4 linked regions of the Macaca mulatta genome follow. The protein of the gene in region 4 interacts with the protein of the main gene of each other region in a biochemical or structural test. Links are inferred from orthologs where the notes say so. Each region holds a gene or a part of one and is shown on either strand. Other genes may lie near its edges.

Region 1 (5,011 bases), on a different chromosome or scaffold from region 4:
GCCTCTTTCAGCAACCAGCCCATCCTCCCTCCCCTCCCCCCCCCCCACTTCACCGTGGCCCGCGGGCCCACCACCCCTCACCTCTGAGGGCCTCCGGGGCGGGTGAGCACAGCGCTGTCTCTTGCCAGGAGGCCGGAGGCACCAGGTCAAAGCCTCCGTTGTTGTTCAGGGAGTCCTGGGGTGGAGATACATGATGGCCGTCCTGAGGAGGGCCTCCAGCTCCCAGGGGGTGAGCAGGGCTGGCTGCAGAGTCCCAGGTGCTATGAACCCAGGCTCAGCTCCAAGGAGCTGTGGGTCGGGGCACTCACCTGGGCCCCCAGTGTGGTCAGACGGAGGGTGGTTGGCCGGTGCTTATGGGGCTCCTCCAGAGAAGGGGAGGGGATAAGGGGACCAGGGGCAGGTGCCTCTGAGCCAGGGTCTCCTCCCTCCTGGCCTTCCTCATCTCCCTCCTCCTCCTCCTCCTCCTCTTCCTCGTCCTCATCGTCCTCCTCTTCATTGTCATCGATCATCTCAAACTCCTGGAAGTCATCCTGGAAGGAGCAGATGGGGTGCGGCTGCTCCGAGCGCCCCAGGGAGAGGCTGTCCTGCAGGAGGGAGGGAGATAGCAGGGCTGGGCCAGAGAGCAGCAGCAGCCCGGGGTCCAGGTGCAGGAGAAGGGAAATCGGCGTGCATCAGTCAAAGGACAGCCCCTTCCAGCTCACTCTGCCCCTCTGTCTACAGGGCGATGTTTTTAAAATCTGCTTAAGACACGTCGGGATCACTCCAGTTCTTGGGAAGGACCCAAAAAACTCTACAGCTGAATGACAGGGATTCTCAGAGCAGCCCCAGCCCCGCTTTTAGACTCATCTCACTGCAGAACCCCATCACATTTGACACCAGCACTGTGTTCCCTTCACAGCATTTTAACACAGCTTACAGTTACTGGACATGGTTTTTTAGTCTGTTGCAAGCCCCACCAGGGCAGGGTCACATCCATGTTGTGCACTGTTGCACCCACCCCTAAGAACAAGACCTGGGGCTCAGCGTATGTTCAGTAAATATCAAACAAACGCATAAACGTAGAGACAGCCTGCACTCTGAGGATTCACCAACTTTGCACCAACCCCAGGGCCATTGGCACAGTTAATTCCCATGCTGGCACTTCCTCTCCTCCATTCCCTCCTACCTACCCCATCTGCCTGGCTCTGCTAACCTCAGGGCATGGTTGACATTTCCTCTGGAAATTCTCCCTGATTCCTTCAGTGTGGATTGGGTTCCCTTCCCCCTTGTGGAACTTATGTCTCTGTTGGAATGCAGCCCTTGACACGTGGGCAGTCATTGTCCCTTACAAGTCTTTCTCCTCTACTAAGTTGCAGCTCCGGAGGGCAGCTATCCTGTTCCACTCCCAGCCCCCAGAAGCCCCCAGTACTTGCCACATGGCAGTTGCCCAGAACTGTTCTTCAATAAATGAAAGCAGAAATGTGGAGAGACAGGGAGAAGGAGAAGCAGGAGATGGGGGAGAAACGATTTCAGCGGGGGGAGACATGAGAGAGACAGATGGGAGCTGCAGACGAGAGCACAGGGCTGCGGATGGGACAAGGTTGTGATGGCAGCTGCCAGGGGTTAGATCTTTCTGGGAGTGATCTGAGGACAGAGGGCACCCAAAGCAAAAGAGCACCTCCCTGTCCCGGTCTGGCCACTGATGGTGTCGGGGAGAATGCTGGGGAAGGCCTTGCGTGGAGGCCTGCAATGTATTGGAATAAGAGAGGGTTGATACCAAGGAAACCTCAAGGGTTAAGTGGGGAGGAGCTATCAGAGGAGTCCCCGGTTCAAGGCTGAGCTCACACCCACCCTAAAACCCCAAGTGAATGCTAAGAAGAACCTAATGAGGCCCTCCCTTAAGCTGGATCTGTGCCCCCAACTCTTCCCCCACCTTCTCACAGTGGTCTGAGTCGTAGCTGAGGCCCAGGCCACAGTCATCAGTGATCTCAGACAGATCTTCGTCGTCAAACTCTTCCAGGCTTATGTCCTGGGGAGGCCTGGAAAGGAGACCAGGGTCAGAGAGCTACCAACCTGGACTCTCTGCCTGGGAACTGGCCTTGAGAAGGAGCAGAGCGCGGCCTCAGCTCCTCCGCCCCGTGGTCTCCACAACCCCCAGCTCCCGGAACACATCCTGCCATCATCTTGACCCCCAAGCTCTGCTCTCCTGTGGATCCCCTCCCCCGTCTGAGCCAGGCCTGCCCAGAGCAGCCAACCCTGCCCCCACCCCTCCCACCCCGCCTCCCTGGAGAGCCAGCAGCCTCTCCTCCCTCCACTCGCAGCTCCAGGCCCCTGGGGTCAAGGTCTTGCAGAGCACGGGAGGGGGGGCTGCAACCCGGCAGCGGCAGATGGGGAGGGGTCGCGCCTGCTCTGGGAGGAGAGTCTGGCCTGTTTGTCTCCCCCTCGCTGGCGGAGTGAGGCCTAAACCCAGAGGCCCAGCGTCCTCCCCACCCCAGTCCCTTCCCGCAGGGCCCCGGGCTTGATTTCCACTCTCTCCCGGCCGGGCCCTATCGGCCAGGTCTGGCGTCCACTGAAGGAGGCCAAGGCCACCGGGACACGCCGCGCTGGGAGGGTGTGCCCGCATCGCGCCCGCATCCTCCCCCGCAGAGGGTCGGCCCAGGGCCTCCACCCTTGCCAGGTCAGCGGTCCAGGCCGGGCGCGGCTCAGAATCCCGGCGGGGCCGGGGGTCACGGAGGCTGGGGCCGCGCGGTGAAGACGGAGGGAGTGGGAGCGGGTGGGGGTGGGGCGCCCGAGCCGAGGCTCAAGGACCGCAGGGGGCTGGGGCCGGGTCCGCGCCGGCGGCGGGGACGGGGGTCCGGGCGGGTCGGGGTCGGCGGGGCGCAGGGAGCGGAGGGCCCGCCCGGCCCGGGCGCCGAGGGGGTACCTGCAGCCCGGCGGCGACAGCGAGTGGAAGGTGGAGAGAGAAAACATCTCCGCGCGATCCGCCATCTTCTCCGGGAGAGGCCCGCGACTGCGGCGGGGGGTGCGGGAGCCTCGCCGCGCCCCGCGCCCGCGCTCGGCCCGCCCCGCTCACCTCGTGACACGCCCTGCGGCGCCCGCCCCGCGCACCTCGCCCGGACTGCGCGGCGGCGCGGGGAGGGCGGCGGGGGAGGCGGGGGAGGGACGCGGCCGGGGACGCTGGTTGGAGGAGAGGCGGCGGCTTCACTGCCGGGCGCTGGTTGGGGAAGGACCGGGCGTGCGAGGAGGATTTTTCACGGGGAGGGGCGGGAGGGAAGGGGAGGGCGGGTGGGCGTCGGGCCCCGCCCTGGAGGACCCGCGCGGGGCGGGAGGCCGGAGAGGCAGCGCCGGGGTCCGCGGGCCTCGGGTGCACCGTGGGCTGTTCCCTCTGGCGAGAGGCCGGGGCGGCCCCAGGAGCTGCGCCGCCGCCCCCAGGGGTCCCCCCAGGAACCCTAACCCGGGTGCGGCCCTGAGCTGGGTGGCGGGCGAGGCGGGAGGCGCGGGAGGAGCTGTCCGCCGTCGGGTGCTGATCGGAGCTGTCCCCACGGGGTGCTGACCGGGCTGCACAGGGACGTCTGCACAAGGGTCGCCCAGCAGGGCTGGATTCGGAATCGAGCACACGGTACTCAGAGGATGCTGGCCGGGGTCAAAAGTGGACTTTGAGCACTCAGTAGAGACTGCACAGCCGGACAGAGGTACCGACAGGCATGGGAGAAGTTAGCACCCACAGAGGCGATGTGCGTCCCATTGGAAACACTTTTTCTTGGGCACCGTGTTGCTGGGCCCTGTGTAGGGAGCTGACCCGCTCTGGCTTGGGATGGAGCCCTGTGGGGAGGGCCATGGTTGAAGCTGAGCTCAAGAGGGTGGCTGTGGGAGGAGGCAGGAGATCAGGGTTGAGGGCGCAGAACTAGGGAGACTGCAGAACACTTTTTTTCTTTCTAAAATAGAGACCGGTGGCCGGGCGCGGTGGCTCATGCCTGTAATCCCACCACTTTGGGAGGCCGAGGCGGGTGGATCACGACGTCAAGAGATCGAGACCATCCTGGCCAACATGGGGAAACCCCATCTCTACTGAAAATACAAAAGAATTAGCCGGGCATGGTGGTGCGCGCCTGTAGTCCCAGTGACTCGGGAGGCTGAGGCAGGAGAATCATTTGAACCTGGGAGGAGGAGGTTGCAGTGAGACGAGATTGCGCCACTGCACTCCAGCCTGGTGACAAGAGCAAGACTCCGACTCAAATAAATAAATAGAGAGAGAGAGGGGGAAGAGAGAGAGAGAGAGAGAGAGAGAGAGAGAGAGAGAGAGAGAGAGAGAGAGAGAGAGAGAGAGAGAGAGAGAGAGAGACCGGCTCTCTGTATTGCCCAGGTTGGTCTTGAGCTCCTGGACTCAGCTATCCTCTGGCCTCAGCCTCCCAAAGTGCTGGGATTACAGGTGTGAACCACAGCACCTGGCTAAATATTGGCTAAAGAAGGAGGCTGGAGTTTCAACAAGAGTGCAATCCCTTTTCCCCCTTGATGAAAGTTATGTGCCCTAAGATTTACGTCTTAGTTCTGTGGAAAATTCCTTTTTTTTTTTTTTTTTTTTTTTTTTGAGGCAGAACTTGCTCTGTCGCCCAGGCTGGAGTGCAGTGGCATGATCTCAGCTCAATGTAAACTCTGCCTCCCAGGTTCAAGTGATTCTCGTGCCTCAGTCTCCCGAGTAGCTGGGATTACAGGCAATCACCACCACATCCGCCTAATTTTTGTGTTTTTAGTAGAGATGGGTTTTCACCATGTTGGGCAGGCTGGTCCCAAACTCCTGACCTCAGGTGATCCACCCTCCTTGGCCTCCCAAAGTGCTGGGATTACAGATGTGAGCTACTGCGCCTGGCCTGGAAATTATTCCTTAGGAAAGGACGAGGCACTTGAGTGACAAACACTAGAAAGTACATGGCAGAAGCAGCTCATGCCAGTCGGGAAGGGAAGTATTGCCATTCCAGCTCAGAGAGAGGCCTGTGGCCAGGGCCTGATTGAGCCTGCACTCCTTGGTGCCCCG
Region 2 (4,076 bases), about 5.6 Mb from region 4:
GGAGGAGAGGTGGGGAGGGGGGGTGTGAAGCGTGTCCCAGGGGAGGGGGCAGGGGTCCCGGTTGTTCTCAGAAGCCGAAAACATACAAGCACCCAGAAGCTTTAGAAATTTATTACAAGGTCATCAGAGTAGAAATAAAAATATAGATATCTGTGCTTCCCATCTCGCTCTCAGTGGTTCGAGTAACAAGTGCAAGTAACAAAATAGATTGTCTCTATGATTCGCAAACTGGGAGTTCATGGGTACAGAGCAACTTCGGCCCCAGCTCCCAAGTCCCAAAGTGTGGTCTTGTCGAGGGTGCAGACAAGCACCAACCAAGTTCAACCAGGTCTCTAGTCTGCAGACGCCAGCTCCAGTCTCAAGGAGGGTGGGGGTTGCAGTCAGTCTCACTCCACCCTCAAGTGGAGAGTCTGGACCTTCCATGATAGGGAAGGCGGCAGCGTGCCCCACCCCTCCAGCTTCTGCTCCATCCCAAGGCCTGAGCTCCGGGGTCCTGTCTCCTGCTGGCCTGGGTCCCCACTTCTCCTCCATCGGATCGGCGGCCGCCAGCTCCCCGATCTCCGCCCTGGGGGCGGCCACTCACTCCCCTTCTCCTCCTCCTCCTCCTCCTCTTCAGTCTCCAACGACTCTGCCCCCGATGGTTTCGTGGGTTGGGTTGTTTTGGGGGGGTTGTGCTGGGGGGGAGGGGGGTTCAAATATTTATTTTATTTTTTGTTTTTGGCAGCAACTCAACAGGTTCTGCTGCTGGGAAGGGCCTCAGCGTTCCTGAAGAGAGATGTAGGGCACCCACTGGTTGTTGCCCCGGCTTTCTTCGCAGTAGCTGGCTACCTCCACCAAGCCGTGGCTCTTCCAGGCGTCGGTGTGAGGGTTCTGTGGGAGGGGAAAAGAAGGGGTTTAGTGGGAGCCTCCCTCTCCCAAGGCCCCATGTGTGGGGAAAACAGGCAGGCTCAAAATAGCTCCCTGGGTGAGGAGGCCCCAGCCCGGCTGCCCACGGGACATGCCAAGCATGGTTGAACGCTGAGCTGTGCAGGACCAGTCAGCCCGACTTTGTTGACAAACACCAGCCCAGGTGCCCGGGCGTGGCAGGTCAGGGCAGAGGCCCAACTCACCGTGACCAGGAGACAATGCAGGTCTCGGGCCTCAGTGGTGCCCTGGGTCTCGGCCGGCTCTCCCAGGAGCTGTGCCAGGCGCTGCATGCCCGACACCCGCATGATGTTAATGTCGTTGTCGCAGCAGAAGGACTGGATGAGCGTGAAGTGGATTTGCAGGGCGATGTCATCCTCCTCCTCCTCGTCAATGGCCAAGAGGCAGAGGACCACGCTGTCTGGGTCCCTGAGGGGGCCAAAGGGAAGGGGTGGGTCAGCCGGGAACAGGGGAGAGGCCACCGTGCAGGGGGAGTTTGCAAAAAAAGGAGCGTGCAAGAGCAAAAGAGAAACTGCAGGGGTGCAGGGGATTGCCTCTGCAAGCTGGTGACGGTGGGGGGCGGGGAAGGCACACGGTTCAAAGTGTGGGGTGTGGGGAGACAGGCCCACAGCGGGAGGGGCGCTTGCAGACGATGCATCAGGATACGGCAGCCCCCAATCCACAAAACAGCAGAGGAGCTCTGCATCCACAGCGGGTGGCACTTGGGGAAGTCCCAGCCCCATGCGAGACAAGCGTGTGGAAAGCGTCCAGAGCGGAGGGGAGGTCCGGTCCCACCCGCGCCCGGCCCGGGGAGGGGGTCTGACTCACACATTCATCAACTTGGCCGACTCGTACACCCCCACTGTGAGGCGATCCTGGCGCTGAGCGGCCACCAACAGCTCCTCCACCGCGGCGGTCACCGTCTGCATCCTGAGGCCAGGAGAGAGGGATCAGTGACGGGCGGACCACCGGGTGCTACATTCCGCTCCCGGCCCGGCCCAACCCGACCCATCCCGTCCCGGCCGACCTCAGACGGCGGCGGCCCCGGCTACTTACTTCTGCGCCGCGTTGTCGCACGCCACGAGCTCTTCCAGCGTCATGTTGCAATTATAATCCACAGTGGACGCGGCTCCACGACAGTCCCCAGGGAGAAATTGCAAAATCCGCGCCAGAAAGCCCAAAACCTTCCCACGGAGCTGGAGCGCTCGTCCAAGACCTTCGGGAAGCAGCGAAATCCTTCCAGAAAAGGCGGAAAAAAATGTTGCAAAGTCCTTGGCGAAAATAATCCGGGAAGTTGCAGAAACCAACCGTAGTCCGAAGCCTCGGCGATCTGAGCCGGGAGCCTCCGGCACCGACTTTTATAGACTTGACGGCTGGGGCGTGGCCTCAGTGGAGTCATTCACCCCTCCTATTGGTGGAAGGACAACGGAGAGTGCAGACAGCTCTGCGGTTGGCCGACGGCGGGGAGGGGGCGGAGCGCCGTGTGGGGGCGCCCCACGTGGGGGCGAGAACCGGGAGGAGGGCGCGCGGGGGCCGGGTAGGTGACCGCGAATGCCAGAAAAGAAAAAAAAAAGCAGAAGTTTTTTTCTCCTGATTTCCCGGCAGCCGAGCCGCGGTTCGGGGCGCGCGCGGGATTTCCAGCGCGCGAGGCGGCCCGGACTTTCGCCGGGGGGGGCCTGGAATCCCCTCCCGATGCGCGGAGAGTCCCGGACTGCTCCTTTCCCAAGTTCTGCTGGGGGTGGAGGGGCTGCACCGGGAAGGGGCCCCGTTTGCAGCCTGATCTCGCCCAGGTGGTGGTGATGACCGGAGTCTCTCCTGGCTGCGGCGACCCCAGCCCCTGGGTGATTTCGCTTTTCCCGGCCTCTATATTCCTGTCTGAGTAATGGGGCTGCAGCGCCGGCCTCGCTGGTTTGCAGAGCATGACATAAAATACGGCTGACAGTAAGCGCTCAATACACATCATCTGTCACCTGGTGGTCGCGGGAGGCCTCCTCCAGGGCCCCGAAAGTGGGAGGTTGCAAAGCCCGGGGCACTCTGGAGAAGAAAGCGGGCGCCCCCTCGCCGACCCCGCGAGTTTCAGGGTGGGGCGCGCGTGGGAGGTGCAGGTGGCGTGGCCCCGCCCCCGCCAGCTGCCTGGCGTTCCAGGCTTTGCGCGTGCGGAGGCCTCCAGGCCGAGGAGAAAGCCATTGTTGGGGGGAATGGTGCAGGCTGCGGCTGCACGCCGCCACCCCAGGCCCACGTGCAAGGATGACGGCCACCTTTATTTCTCACTCCGGGGTGGGCGCTGACCTGCACTGAGCGTGGTGCGGATCTGGCACCCTCCACCCCTCCCGATTCATGGATGATTTAATCCAAGACCTGAGAAGCAGGGGAGATGCTTATGTGCATTATGCAAAAGGGTAAACTGAGGCTTGGTGAGGCCACAGGCTAGTTCGTGTTGGAGCCACGCCTGTGCGCCAGGCACGGCCGCCTGCAGGACTCCGCCGCCCCAGGAAGGCTGCTTAGGAACGAAGCGGGCAGGCCCCGCATGACAACGTCTCCCACGGTCGACTGGGGGCTCCCGGGTGACTCACATCTGAGTCCCCTCCCCCGCCAGCCTGGGGTCTGGCCTCGGCCCTGCGGCTCGGTTTCCCCGGTTCCCCGGCTCCCTGGCCCGCGAGCCCAGCTGACGCATCCCGCCTCCTCCGCGCCGCCCACCGCCGGGGGGCACGAAATGTCCCGGGGCTGCGAGGCGCGGCGGCGCCATCTGGTGGCCGCGCAGAGTTTCTGCGCCCTCAGCGCCGGAAGAGAGGGATGGACGGGCGGGGCACTGGGCTGGAGGCGGGGGATAAGGGGACCGTGGCAGTTGCAACGTTTCATATAATTTTATATATGCAATGTTTTACGCAGGCAACATATATATTTATATTTTATAATTTAATTTTAAAAATTAAATCGGCCGGGAGCGGTGGATCACGCCTGTAATCCCAGCACTTTGGGAGTCCTAGGCGGGCAGATCAACTGAGGTCAGGAGTTCCAGACCAGCCTGACCAATACGGCCAACATGAGCTGAAGATAGGGAAGGTCAGGGAGGTGAGTGGGATAAGTGCAAAGTCAGATTCTGTCTTTTTTTACAATTTTGATATTTTGTTCCCTCACGCTGGGATTACAGGCGTGAGCCACCGCGCCCGGCC
Region 3 (4,970 bases), on a different chromosome or scaffold from region 4:
CTGGCTGGTCAGTCCTGTGACTCGTGGGCCTGGAGAATTCCCCCTCCTCTCCCCGCCAGGCTTCCTCACAAGGCCCCCATTGTCCAGGAAAATCATGCCATTGTTTCTTGCCTGTGCCCCCCCAAGCCCAGGGACTCCCCCCACCCCAATCCCGCAGACAGCAACTTGGGCCTAAGACTGGGGTCTCCGAGGTTAAATGCCAGGCTCAGGGAGGCTGAGGGCACCTTGCCTGCCCTTTACCACCAACTCCCAGACTCTGAGAGGGAAGCAGGGGAACTAGAGGGGAGTGGGGCAGCAGTTCCAGGCTCCTTCCTCCTGCAAGCCCTCCACCCCCAGCTCTTTCCTCCCCTGCAGGCAGCTGGGCTAGGGAGGGAGCAGGGGCTGGAGCAGGGACAGGAAGCCGGCTCAGGGCAGCAGGAAACGCAGGAAGCAGTGGGGAGGGTGGGGAGCAGGGGCCTGGGCTATTGTTCCATTTTTTCTGGAAAGAAAACGGAGGAAAAACAGAAGATGGGAGTCCCCTCCCCCTGCGCCTTCGGGGAATCCCCCTCAGATTGGGGCAGGTAGTGGGGGTCCCTAGATAGAGCCCAGGGTTGAGGCTGAGAGGTGGGAACTGCACCTTACAAGGGATGAGAAGAGTGGGTGGGGTGGTTGGCAGGCCTCCCCTGGCTCCTCCAGCCCTGGCAAGAACTTGGATATCTGGGGCTCAGCACTCTGTTTCCTGCAAGCCCCTTGTCCATGGTCAGCCCAGGCTAGGAGGCTCAAAATATCCACATGGACCCCCCTCTAAGAATGTCTCATGCTTTTCCAGTGACCCCACTGAGCCTGGCCCCTCCTGCATTTCCTACTGCTGCTCTCCAGCCTGCACCCTGGGCTCTAGGAGGCCCCTGCTCCTGGTCCCTGCTGTGTGCTAGGTCCTGCTTCCATGCCTTCGCTCTCTAAATGCTGCGCGCACCAGGAAGCCCTCTGAAGCTACCACTTGCTTCTCTTGGGCCGTGATGGAAAGCGTGTTGGGGGCTTAAAATGGTGGGAGATGGAGTCTCCCCTAGCCCAGCACTCCCACCCCAAGCACTGATTGCAGGCTAGGCCCTCTTGGTGATCCAGCCCTCAAATGCCCATCTCCATGGCTGAAGACCCGCTGCGGGTTGGGGATCGCAGGTCAGGCTTGCCCAGGCTGTTGAGCTGTTTCACTCTCCCTTTTTACAGAGTCTGAAATTGAGGCTCCGAGTTTGAGTAACGAGCTAGAGGTCATGCAGCCAGGGAGGGCTAGGCCAGAATTCCAGCCCTGGCCTTGGCCTTGACTGCCAAGGAGGGCTTCTCTCTCTGAGATATCTGTTCTGGAGGAGCTGCCCATGATGACAGGAGAGGACAGAGCACCAACTCTACGAATATGAATTTAGGGGAGGAGAAGATGGGGAGCGCGAGCTTCCAGAGGACTTCCTTGAGGTGGGAGGCAGAGCTGGGCAGGATGCTTATGGCCCACCTGAGAAATCCCAATTTCTTAACTTGTCCAAACCTCAGCTGCAGGCTGGGGCCAAGGACTTCTGAGGCTGGGACAGGAAGACTCTTCTGGGTGCCTGGAGCTCTGTTTGGGGGCTAGCTTGAGCCCATGGGCACCTGGTCAGCTGGGACCCCCTAGGGCGAGTGCTCCTACCTGCAGCAGACCCTAAGCTAGGCTCAGTGGAAGGTTGGGAGCAGGTGTGTGCCAGAGCCATGCCACCCGCAACCAGGCCGCCAGAAACTCACTGTTGTTGGACTTGAGGTCGCGATGGATGACGGGCACCAGGGCCTCGCAGTGCAGGTAGTGCATCCCACGGGCAATCTGCACAGCCCAGTTAACCAGCACATGGGGAGGCACGCGCCGCCCTGCCAGAGCTCGGCTGAGGGGTCCACCAGCTGCATACTCCATCACCAGGCACAGGTTGGGCTCCTCCAGGCACACAGCCTTGAGGGCAATGATGTTGGGGTGTGCTAGCATGGCGAAGAGCCGGGCCTCCTGGCGAACACTCTCAGCTGTCACACTGATGTCCTCATCGGGGTCCTGGCGAGCTGCCTTCACAGCCACCAGCTCACCTCGCCAGCTGCCCCGGTACACCTTGCCGAAGCCTCCAATGCCGATCACCTCCTCCAGCCGCAGCTCCTGGAAGCTGGCCACCTCGCAGGGGGGCGGGCCGCCACCCCGAGACACATAGTTGGATGGGAAGATGCCCACCTGGCCACCCACCTGGCCTGCCCACCAGCCCTCGTCTCCTGAGATGGCTGCGTCCCGGGACAGCACCTCCACACGGTCACCCTTCCTCAGGGCCAGCTCGTCCTGCCCACTGGGCTCGTAGTCGAACAGGGCTGTCCACACCGGGTTGGCATAACCCGCTGCCTTTGGAGACCCCTCAGGCCGGCCTCCTCCACTGCCCCCACCACCCCCGCTGCCACTGCCATTCCATGACCCTAGAGGGCTCTTGAGGAAGAGGCTCTTCAAGGGCTCCATGGCCGGGAGCCGGCGTTGGGATGTGTGGAGGACCTTCTCTGGGTGCCCGTGGTCCCCACCCCCGCTGGCTGCCAAGGCCCTAGTCCCGGAACCTGGGCATCCGGGCCCTGGCCCTCAGCCCCAGACCCACGCCTCTCTGGGGAGCCAGGAGTGTCGCCTCCCGGCCCCCCGCATCTCGGGCTTCTGGAGGAGGGCACCCAGGGCAGTGTGGTCAGGCCGGGGGGGTGGGGCCCCGGGGCCTCCGACGCCTCACCATGGCTAGCTTGGAGGGGCCCGAGCTTCCCTCGGTCCTGGAGCAGTCCTGGGAGCCTGGCTCCGGCCCCCGCCAAGCGTAAGGTGGGGCCTCCAGGGGCAGCGCCTCAACTCCGGTTGGGTCTTTTTGCGCGGGGGTGGAGGGAGCGTCCACAGTTGGGCCCAGACTGCCTGTTCCTGTCCCCGGCTCCTTTGGTCCCGACGGCTCCGACCCCGCTCCCTTCTTCCTCCTCCCTTTGTACTTTGGCCTCGGGGGCGGGAGGCAGAGGTGGAGGGTGGAGTTTCACTTTTTTCCGCTCTTCTCCCTCCTGCAGGAAACAGCATCAGATGACGCGGGCGGCCTGCACCGCTCCCCTCCCAGAGGCTCCAGCAGGGGAGTTCCCGGGTAGGCGGGCCAGGAGAGGCAGAGGAGGGAAAGGGCAGAACCAGATTCCCCATCACAGCAGGCTTTGAGATATAGAAAGAAAAGCCTCCAGCTGCGTGCTCTGCTGGCCAGGGTGCAGGTTGGTCTCTGCTAAGGATGGGCCATCTCTGTCCTCTGCATCCGCACTGGCGTCAGCAAAACGGGGTTACAGAACCACACTTGGGAAGGGGGTGAACCCAAGTCTGGTGTTGGCTGCGAAGTTGTGGGACTGTGCGATCCATCCATTCTGAGCCTCATTATTTTCCTTCTTTCTTTCTTTTTTCTTTTTTTGAGACGGAGTCCTTTCTCTGTCACCCAGGCTGGTATGCAATGGCGCAGTCTAAGCTCACTGCAACCTCTGCCTCCCGGGTTCAAGCGATTCTCCTGCCTCAGCCTCCCGAGTAGCTGGGACTACCGGCGCGTGGCACCACGGCCGGCTAATTTTTGTATTTTTGGTAGAGACGGGTTTCACCACGTTGACCATGCTGGTCTCAAACCCCTGACCTCGTGATCCGCCCGCCTCGACCTCCCAAAGTGCTGGGATTACAGGCGTGAGCCACCGCGCCCGGCCATTCTTTTCATATATGATATGAGTACAAGAAAGCTCTGCCTCGCAGAGCTAGTGGGATGGGGTGGGGAAGACTGGAGGACAGACGGAACTGGCTGCACCTCAAGCTCTTGGAGTGGATTGTCTAAGGTTCTGCTCTTCTCCTCACCTGGGAAACAATCCGCTTCTTCATATCCCTTCCCCATTGGCAGAATCCTGAGACTTGTCCAGAACTTTGCCCACGATTGGATTCAGAATAGCTGAGTCGCCCTCAGAACCTCTGGATAGGGCTGCCCCAATTGCTTTAAGCCTGTCACTTTAAGAAAGACGACGCTATCCTTTTTCGACTATTCCTGCCTGTTCCGGAAGGTTGTTCTCTACACCCTAGGTCTGAGCTCTGACCCGGAAGTAGACGCCGCTGGGAGCCGAGAAACGATCAGGACGTAGGAGGTCCAGCATTAAAGGGGGCGGACCGAGAGGGGCGTGCTTCGGTAGTGCAGAACACTCGCTGCAACTAGGGGATTCCACGCCTCCATCTTTTCCCCGTCTCCTGTAACTCATTGGAAGAGCTGTGCGCCAATTACTTTGCCGTTACCCAATGGCTACTCAACTGTCTCTTTGGTTCCGCCCAGTCGTCTACCCTGGGTTGGCGACGCCTGGGTGTACGCATGCGCCCAAACGCTTTTGCGCATGTACTTGCTTTAGTTCTGGACTCTGCGCACGCACAAATGGCACCCCTCGCGTCCTACCGCGCCACCACCTCTCTGCGCTTGCGCATTCATGCCGTCAAGTTTTCCTTTTCCGGGTCTCAATTGGAACCGTTGGACGCATGCGCCACTGAAGGCTGGCGGCTCGCGGCTCCTTCTTCCGGCCTCTTCCTTAGGCCGGCACCGGCAGAAGCCGGGCGAGCGCGGAGCCCCAAGCGAGTGACCTGCGACCCCGGAAGTGGACCCCAGATCCTGGGGTTCTCCCTGGTCCGGAGACTAGAGAGCTGTCGCCTGCACCCCGGGAGCATCCACCCCACGCCCACCTCTGGATGCCGCCGACGGGTGCCCGGCCCGTGCCCCGCGCCTGCCTGACGGCTCGGCCCCTCGGAGCAATTCTGGGCCACGAGTGGGGACGCGGACCCCGCCCCTGATGCAGCCCCACCCCCGCGTCTGGGCCTTGCACCGCTGACTGTCCCGGTCGGCCCCGCCCCCTGCCCGCACCCTCGCGCGGCCGAGCCCCCCTCCCCCGCTGGGGGAGGCCATGGCGTGAGCGTGAGGCCGGGCCCCGGGGCCCTCAGG
Region 4 (4,700 bases):
CCATACATCGGCCCGGATGTCATAGTCTGGCTTGGTGGGGTCTGGGGGGTCAATGCGCTCGGGCTACAGGAGGAGGAGGAGGAGAAGATGTATCTCCAAGTCTGGGCCGGGCTCCCAGGCCCCACCCCTCCCCCGCTGGAGGGCCCCCACTCACCGCCATGTAGGCTGCACAGCCGGCGCTCCGCGTTTTGGCTTTGGAGTCCACCAGGCGGCCGCTGATGCCGAAGTCGCAAAGCTTGATCTGGCCCCGCTCGTCCAGCAGGATGTTGGAGGGCTTGACGTCGCGGTGGATGACACCGTGCTTCTCCTTCAGGTAGTACAGCGCCTTCACAATCTGCAGGTAGGCAGAAGAGGGTGCATGTGACCGGGGGCACAGGCCCAAGGCCACCTGCCCGGTGCACGCCCCCCCTGGCCACTCACCGCCACTGTCATCTTGCCCAGGATGCGCTCGGGGATGGGGCCCTGCATCCGCTTCTTGAGCTTCTCGGCACAGGTGCCCATGAGCTCCATGGCGATGAAGACGTCCGTCTGCAGTAAGAGGGGGTTCCCGGGGGAGCTGTGTCTTCTGGCCCAGCCCCCAGAGGCTCTGCTCCCTGGGAAGGGGCAGGGGGTGAGGGAGGAGGAGACCCTGCAGGGTGCGGGGGGGGGGCACCTGGCACGGCTGGGGACTCACGTTGGTGATAAACGTCCCAAAGCACTGCACAATGTAAGGGCAGTCATGGCTCTTGAGCACCACATCCAGGTCCATGAGGATACGCTTGTTCTCCTCCTTGTTCCCCGAGCGCCGCATTTGCTGCACAGGCAGGGACAGGAGGGAGTCTTAGCACCGGCCCGGGGTGTGGGGCGCAGCTGGGGTAGCCGCCAAGGCTCACCTTAACGGCAATGACGTGGCCGGTCTTCCGGAAGCGCATCTTCCACACCTGGCCGCAGGTGCCGCTGCCCATCTCACCCAAGTTCTCCAGGTCATTGATTTCTGCCTGGTAGCGCTGGGAGGAGAGGGAGGGTTGGAGGGTCCCCGGGGCCTCTGTCACCGCCCCCCGCCCCCCACTGGCACCCCCAGGATGGGTCCAGCCTGGCTGGGCCTCCTCCCTCTCCCGCCACAGTGAAGGTGGTACCTGGCCCCCGATGGTCAGGTAGCCCGTCTGCTTCATGATCTCCTGCAGCTTCTGGTCAATCTCAATGCTGGGGACACGGAGCAGGTGCCGGTGGAGGTGGGTCCTGACCTTAGGTTGGCCACCCCAGCCCCCCATACCGGGGTTCTCACCGGTTTAACCGCCCTCCCCGAGGCTGGCACGGTGGCCCCTCAATGCTGCTTCCCACCCAACCCTGCCAGGCCCCTGGCTCACCTCTCCATGCTTCGAGGCGTGAACAGGGTTGACGGGAGCCCCAGCATGTGGCGGGGCCGGGCGGGGGGCGTGGGGTGCTGCGGGGAGCTCTCCGAGGATGGCGAGCGGCTGCCCCCATCGTTGGCCAGCGGGAGCTGCAGGGCTGGGGGGGTGAGAACCAGTGGCAGGGGAGGGGTCAGCACCCAGCTGGTCTCAGCTCCACATCTGGCACTCCAGGGAGAGGTCGGGACCCTCACCTTCCCCTCCTGGGCTTCCCTAGCTAGGCCGGCACAGCCCCTGCCCTGCTGGGCTGGAGGAGCTGGGGTCTCCCTCCCACCCCAGACTGTCCTCAGGGTCCCTTGTCTCATCCCCTGACGTGGAAAGAAATGGAAGAGGCTGGCAGGGGAGAGGGAGCCCCAAGTCTACGCTGACGGAGAAATGAGACGGGGACCTGAGGTGTCCCTCGGCCGGGCAGCCTCCCTGACAGGTGTGGGCGCTTCCTCCCACTTCTGCCCAGGAAGCAGGCCCAGGACCACAGCGCCCACAGGCTGGATAGGCGGGGGTGGAGTGCCTGCCAGGGCTGGCCCGGGCTGTGGCCCTGCTGGTAGCACTAAACTTGGCTCCCAGACGAGAGCGAGCGGGGCCACCCTGGGGAGGCAGTGGGCACGAGACCCAGGTTTCAGGCTGCCTTGCCCCATGTTCTGTTCCGGGGTCAGGAGGGCCCCCTCGGGCCAGTGGGCTGACACGGGGGCCTCCCGGCCTGGCCTGCAGAGCTGGGGCCCGTGGGGGCAGGACAGGACCTCAGGGGGCCTGCATCATCTGGGAAGAGAGTTGGGGGGCACAGCTCCTGCAGGGGCTGGCGGGACCAGGTGGGGCCAATGCTGGGCCAGGCAGGGGTTGGCTCATCCAGCAGCCTGCATGCGGGCAGCTCGGGCATGCTACAGCGGGCGGGCAGGCGGCGGGCACCCTGGGGCAGGCAGGCAGCATTAGGGGTGGGAGGGCAGGAGACAGACAGACAGACAGAAACCAAGACTTGGGCCCAGGTGCCCAGAGGAGGCACTGCACAGACAGGCCAGAGAGGGGCCTGGGACAGGAGGGCAGCTTCCTGGAGGAGCTAGGGTCTCCCTGGCTGGGCTGGCGATGGGGTGCAGGAACAGAGGCCGGGATGCCAACGTGGCCTCCAGAGGAGCCAATCCTGACACCTCACATCCCAGAGGCCCTGACAACAGCTACACACACCTCCCAAGGTGCCCCTCCCACAGGGGCTGGGGCCTGCCGCTCTCCCAAAGCCCTCAACGGACAGCCCCCTCTCTTCCTCCTGCCTCGTCCACCTTTTCTTCCCACAGTTCTGCAGGCTCCTGGTGACTGGTGCCCAGGGACTAACACGAACAGACAGACCCGCTCCATGCTGGCAGCTAAACCCCGTCCCTCCCCTGGGTGCCTGGGACCCTGATCTCAGCCAGTAGAAGAGGCAGGAGGACGCTGACCTCAGTCTCAATCAGGAGGCCCAGCACTGCCCCTACCTGGTCCCACCAGCCCCTGCAGGAGCTGTGTCCCCTTGCTCCCCTCCTGGAGGACCAGGCAGGAGCTGGGGAAGGGCTCCGGGGACCTGGGGACACAGTCAGGCCCAGCTTTCCTAACTGGCCTAGAGGCCTCACCTCCCGTGCCCCTCCCGCTGTCCTGGCCACTGCAGCCTCCACAGCACCATGTCACCTCCCACTGGTGCTTTTTTTTTTCTTTTTTTTTCGAGATAGGTTCTCACTCTGTCGCCCAGGCTGGAGTGCAATGGCGTGATCTCAACTCACTGCAACCTCCACCTCCCAGGTTCAAGTGATTCTCCTGCCTCAGCCTCCTGAGTAGCTGGGATTATAGGCACACGCCACCATGCCCAACTAATCTTTGTCTTTTTAGTAGAGACGGGATCTCGCTGCGTTGGCCAGGTTCCCCCCTCTGCTTCTTCAGGTCCTTGTGCCTCTGCTCTGTCCATGGCCCGAGCCACAGCCCCGATCCTCTTCTGGCTCCCGAGGGCCTGTGCTCTCCTCACACCCAGCCCCCAACCCCTGTGCACCTGGTGTCTCTTGAGATACTGCGTGGTTCCCGCCCTCAGAGAGTATCTGAGTCCCACTCCCGCCCTGCACTCAGGGGGTGAGGACCACAGCCCTCGAGGAGTCCTGTGGGCCCCCTCCCCGGCACAGCCCACCAGGCCTTCTGAGGGCAGCCCCAGAGCCTGGGGAGGAGGCTGCTGGCCTGCAGACTGGAGCACGGGGGAATGGAAGGGAGGGCTCAGGTAGGCACTGGGGGAAGGAGGTACACAAAGGCCCTGAGAACAGAGGCCACAGCGGTGGTGATGGCCACATGGCAGCTCAGGAGGGTGGAGTGACAGCAAGAGGGTGAGGATGAGAGAGAAAGAACGGATGAGAGAGAGCGAGAGGCTGGAGGGCACGTGTGTGCTGACAGGAGCCACAGGTGTGCAGGCTGCCATGTCAACATGCACACGCACGCCGTGCAAGTGCACACAAGCACAACACACACGCGGGGCGTGCCGCTGTGGACCCAACACCCGTGCAGCTGGGACAGAGTCCCCATTGCCCATCGGACACACACACACTCACAGTCACTCACAGGGCCAGGCACCTCATCTACTCCCTCTCCCAACACAGGCATGGGGCACAGCCTGCATGCCCACCACAGGCTGGCACTACGCTCAGAGCCCGGGCAGGGCTGTCTTCTCTCCCCCCACCTCCTTCAAGACGCTTTTTACATTTGTTTTGTTTTGTTTTGAGACGGAGTCTTGCTCTGTTGCCCAGGCTGGAGTGCAGTGGCACGACCTGAGTTCACTGCAACTTCCACCTAATCTCTTTTGTTTTTTTTTTTTTTAGATGGAGTTTCACTCTTGTTGCCCAGGCTGGAGTGCAATGGAGTGATCTCGGCTCACTGCAACCTCCGCCTCCCGGGTTCAAGCTATTCTCCTGCCTCGGTCTCCCGAGTAGCTGGGATTACAGGCATGCGTCACCATGCCCGCCTGATTTGTATTTTCAGTGGAGACGGGGTTTCTCTATGTTGGGGTCTCGAACTCCCGACCACAGGTGATCCACCCGCCTTGGCCTCCCAAAGTGCTGGGATTACAGGTGTGAGCCACCGCGCCTGGCTTAATGTCTTGCATTCTTAATAGCGACAGGGTTTCACCATGTTGGTCAGGCTGGTCTCGAACTCCTGACCTCAAGAGATCCACCCTCCTTGGCTTCCCAAAATACTGAAATTACAGGCATCAGCCACTGCGCCTGGCCCGTTTTTTAAATTTTTGAGACAGGATCTTACTCTGTCACCCAGGCTGGGGTGCAGTGGTGTGATCATGGCTCACTGTAGCCTCGACCT

The links.
Region 1: the proteins of MAP2K7 (region 4) and MAPK8IP2 form a complex in vitro, tested with the Homo sapiens proteins (2 studies listed by BioGRID). The link is inferred for Macaca mulatta from reciprocal best matches to the Homo sapiens genes MAP2K7 and MAPK8IP2.
Region 2: the proteins of MAP2K7 (region 4) and GADD45B form a complex in vitro, tested with the Homo sapiens proteins (2 studies listed by BioGRID and IntAct). The link is inferred for Macaca mulatta from reciprocal best matches to the Homo sapiens genes MAP2K7 and GADD45B.
Region 3: of the proteins of MAP2K7 (region 4) and MAP3K11, one has a biochemical effect on the other in vitro, tested with the Homo sapiens proteins (2 studies listed by BioGRID). The link is inferred for Macaca mulatta from reciprocal best matches to the Homo sapiens genes MAP2K7 and MAP3K11.

What each region holds. Positions count from the first base shown.
Region 1 is NC_133415.1:846,861-851,871, forward strand, and holds the start of MAPK8IP2 (C-Jun-amino-terminal kinase-interacting protein 2), read right to left. Parts: upstream 2,975-5,011; 5' UTR 2,968-2,974; coding exon 2,903-2,967; intron 2,019-2,902; coding exon 1,913-2,018; intron 585-1,912; coding exon 309-584; intron 176-308; coding exon 82-175; intron 1-81. UniProt on the Homo sapiens protein: The JNK-interacting protein (JIP) group of scaffold proteins selectively mediates JNK signaling by aggregating specific components of the MAPK cascade to form a functional JNK signaling module.
Region 2 is NC_133424.1:3,218,039-3,222,114, reverse strand, and holds GADD45B (growth arrest and DNA damage-inducible protein GADD45 beta), read right to left. Parts: upstream 2,163-4,076; 5' UTR 2,004-2,162; coding exon 1,960-2,003; intron 1,834-1,959; coding exon 1,732-1,833; intron 1,333-1,731; coding exon 1,110-1,332; intron 871-1,109; coding exon 757-870; 3' UTR 675-756; downstream 1-674.
Region 3 is NC_133419.1:8,776,881-8,781,850, reverse strand, and holds the start of MAP3K11 (mitogen-activated protein kinase kinase kinase 11), read right to left. Parts: upstream 2,975-4,970; 5' UTR 2,483-2,974; coding exon 1,744-2,482; intron 1-1,743. UniProt on the Homo sapiens protein: Activates the JUN N-terminal pathway. Required for serum-stimulated cell proliferation and for mitogen and cytokine activation of MAPK14 (p38), MAPK3 (ERK) and MAPK8 (JNK1) through phosphorylation and activation of MAP2K4/MKK4 and MAP2K7/MKK7.
Region 4 is NC_133424.1:8,776,934-8,781,633, reverse strand, and holds the start of MAP2K7 (dual specificity mitogen-activated protein kinase kinase 7), read right to left. Parts: upstream 3,386-4,700; 5' UTR 3,014-3,385; intron 2,619-3,013; exon of another isoform or gene 2,268-2,618; intron 2,173-2,267; 5' UTR 1,694-2,172; coding exon 1,347-1,693; intron 1,183-1,346; coding exon 1,116-1,182; intron 987-1,115; coding exon 873-986; intron 794-872; coding exon 674-793; intron 529-673; coding exon 421-528; intron 335-420; coding exon 155-334; intron 64-154; coding exon 1-63. UniProt on the Homo sapiens protein: Dual specificity protein kinase which acts as an essential component of the MAP kinase signal transduction pathway. Essential component of the stress-activated protein kinase/c-Jun N-terminal kinase (SAP/JNK) signaling pathway.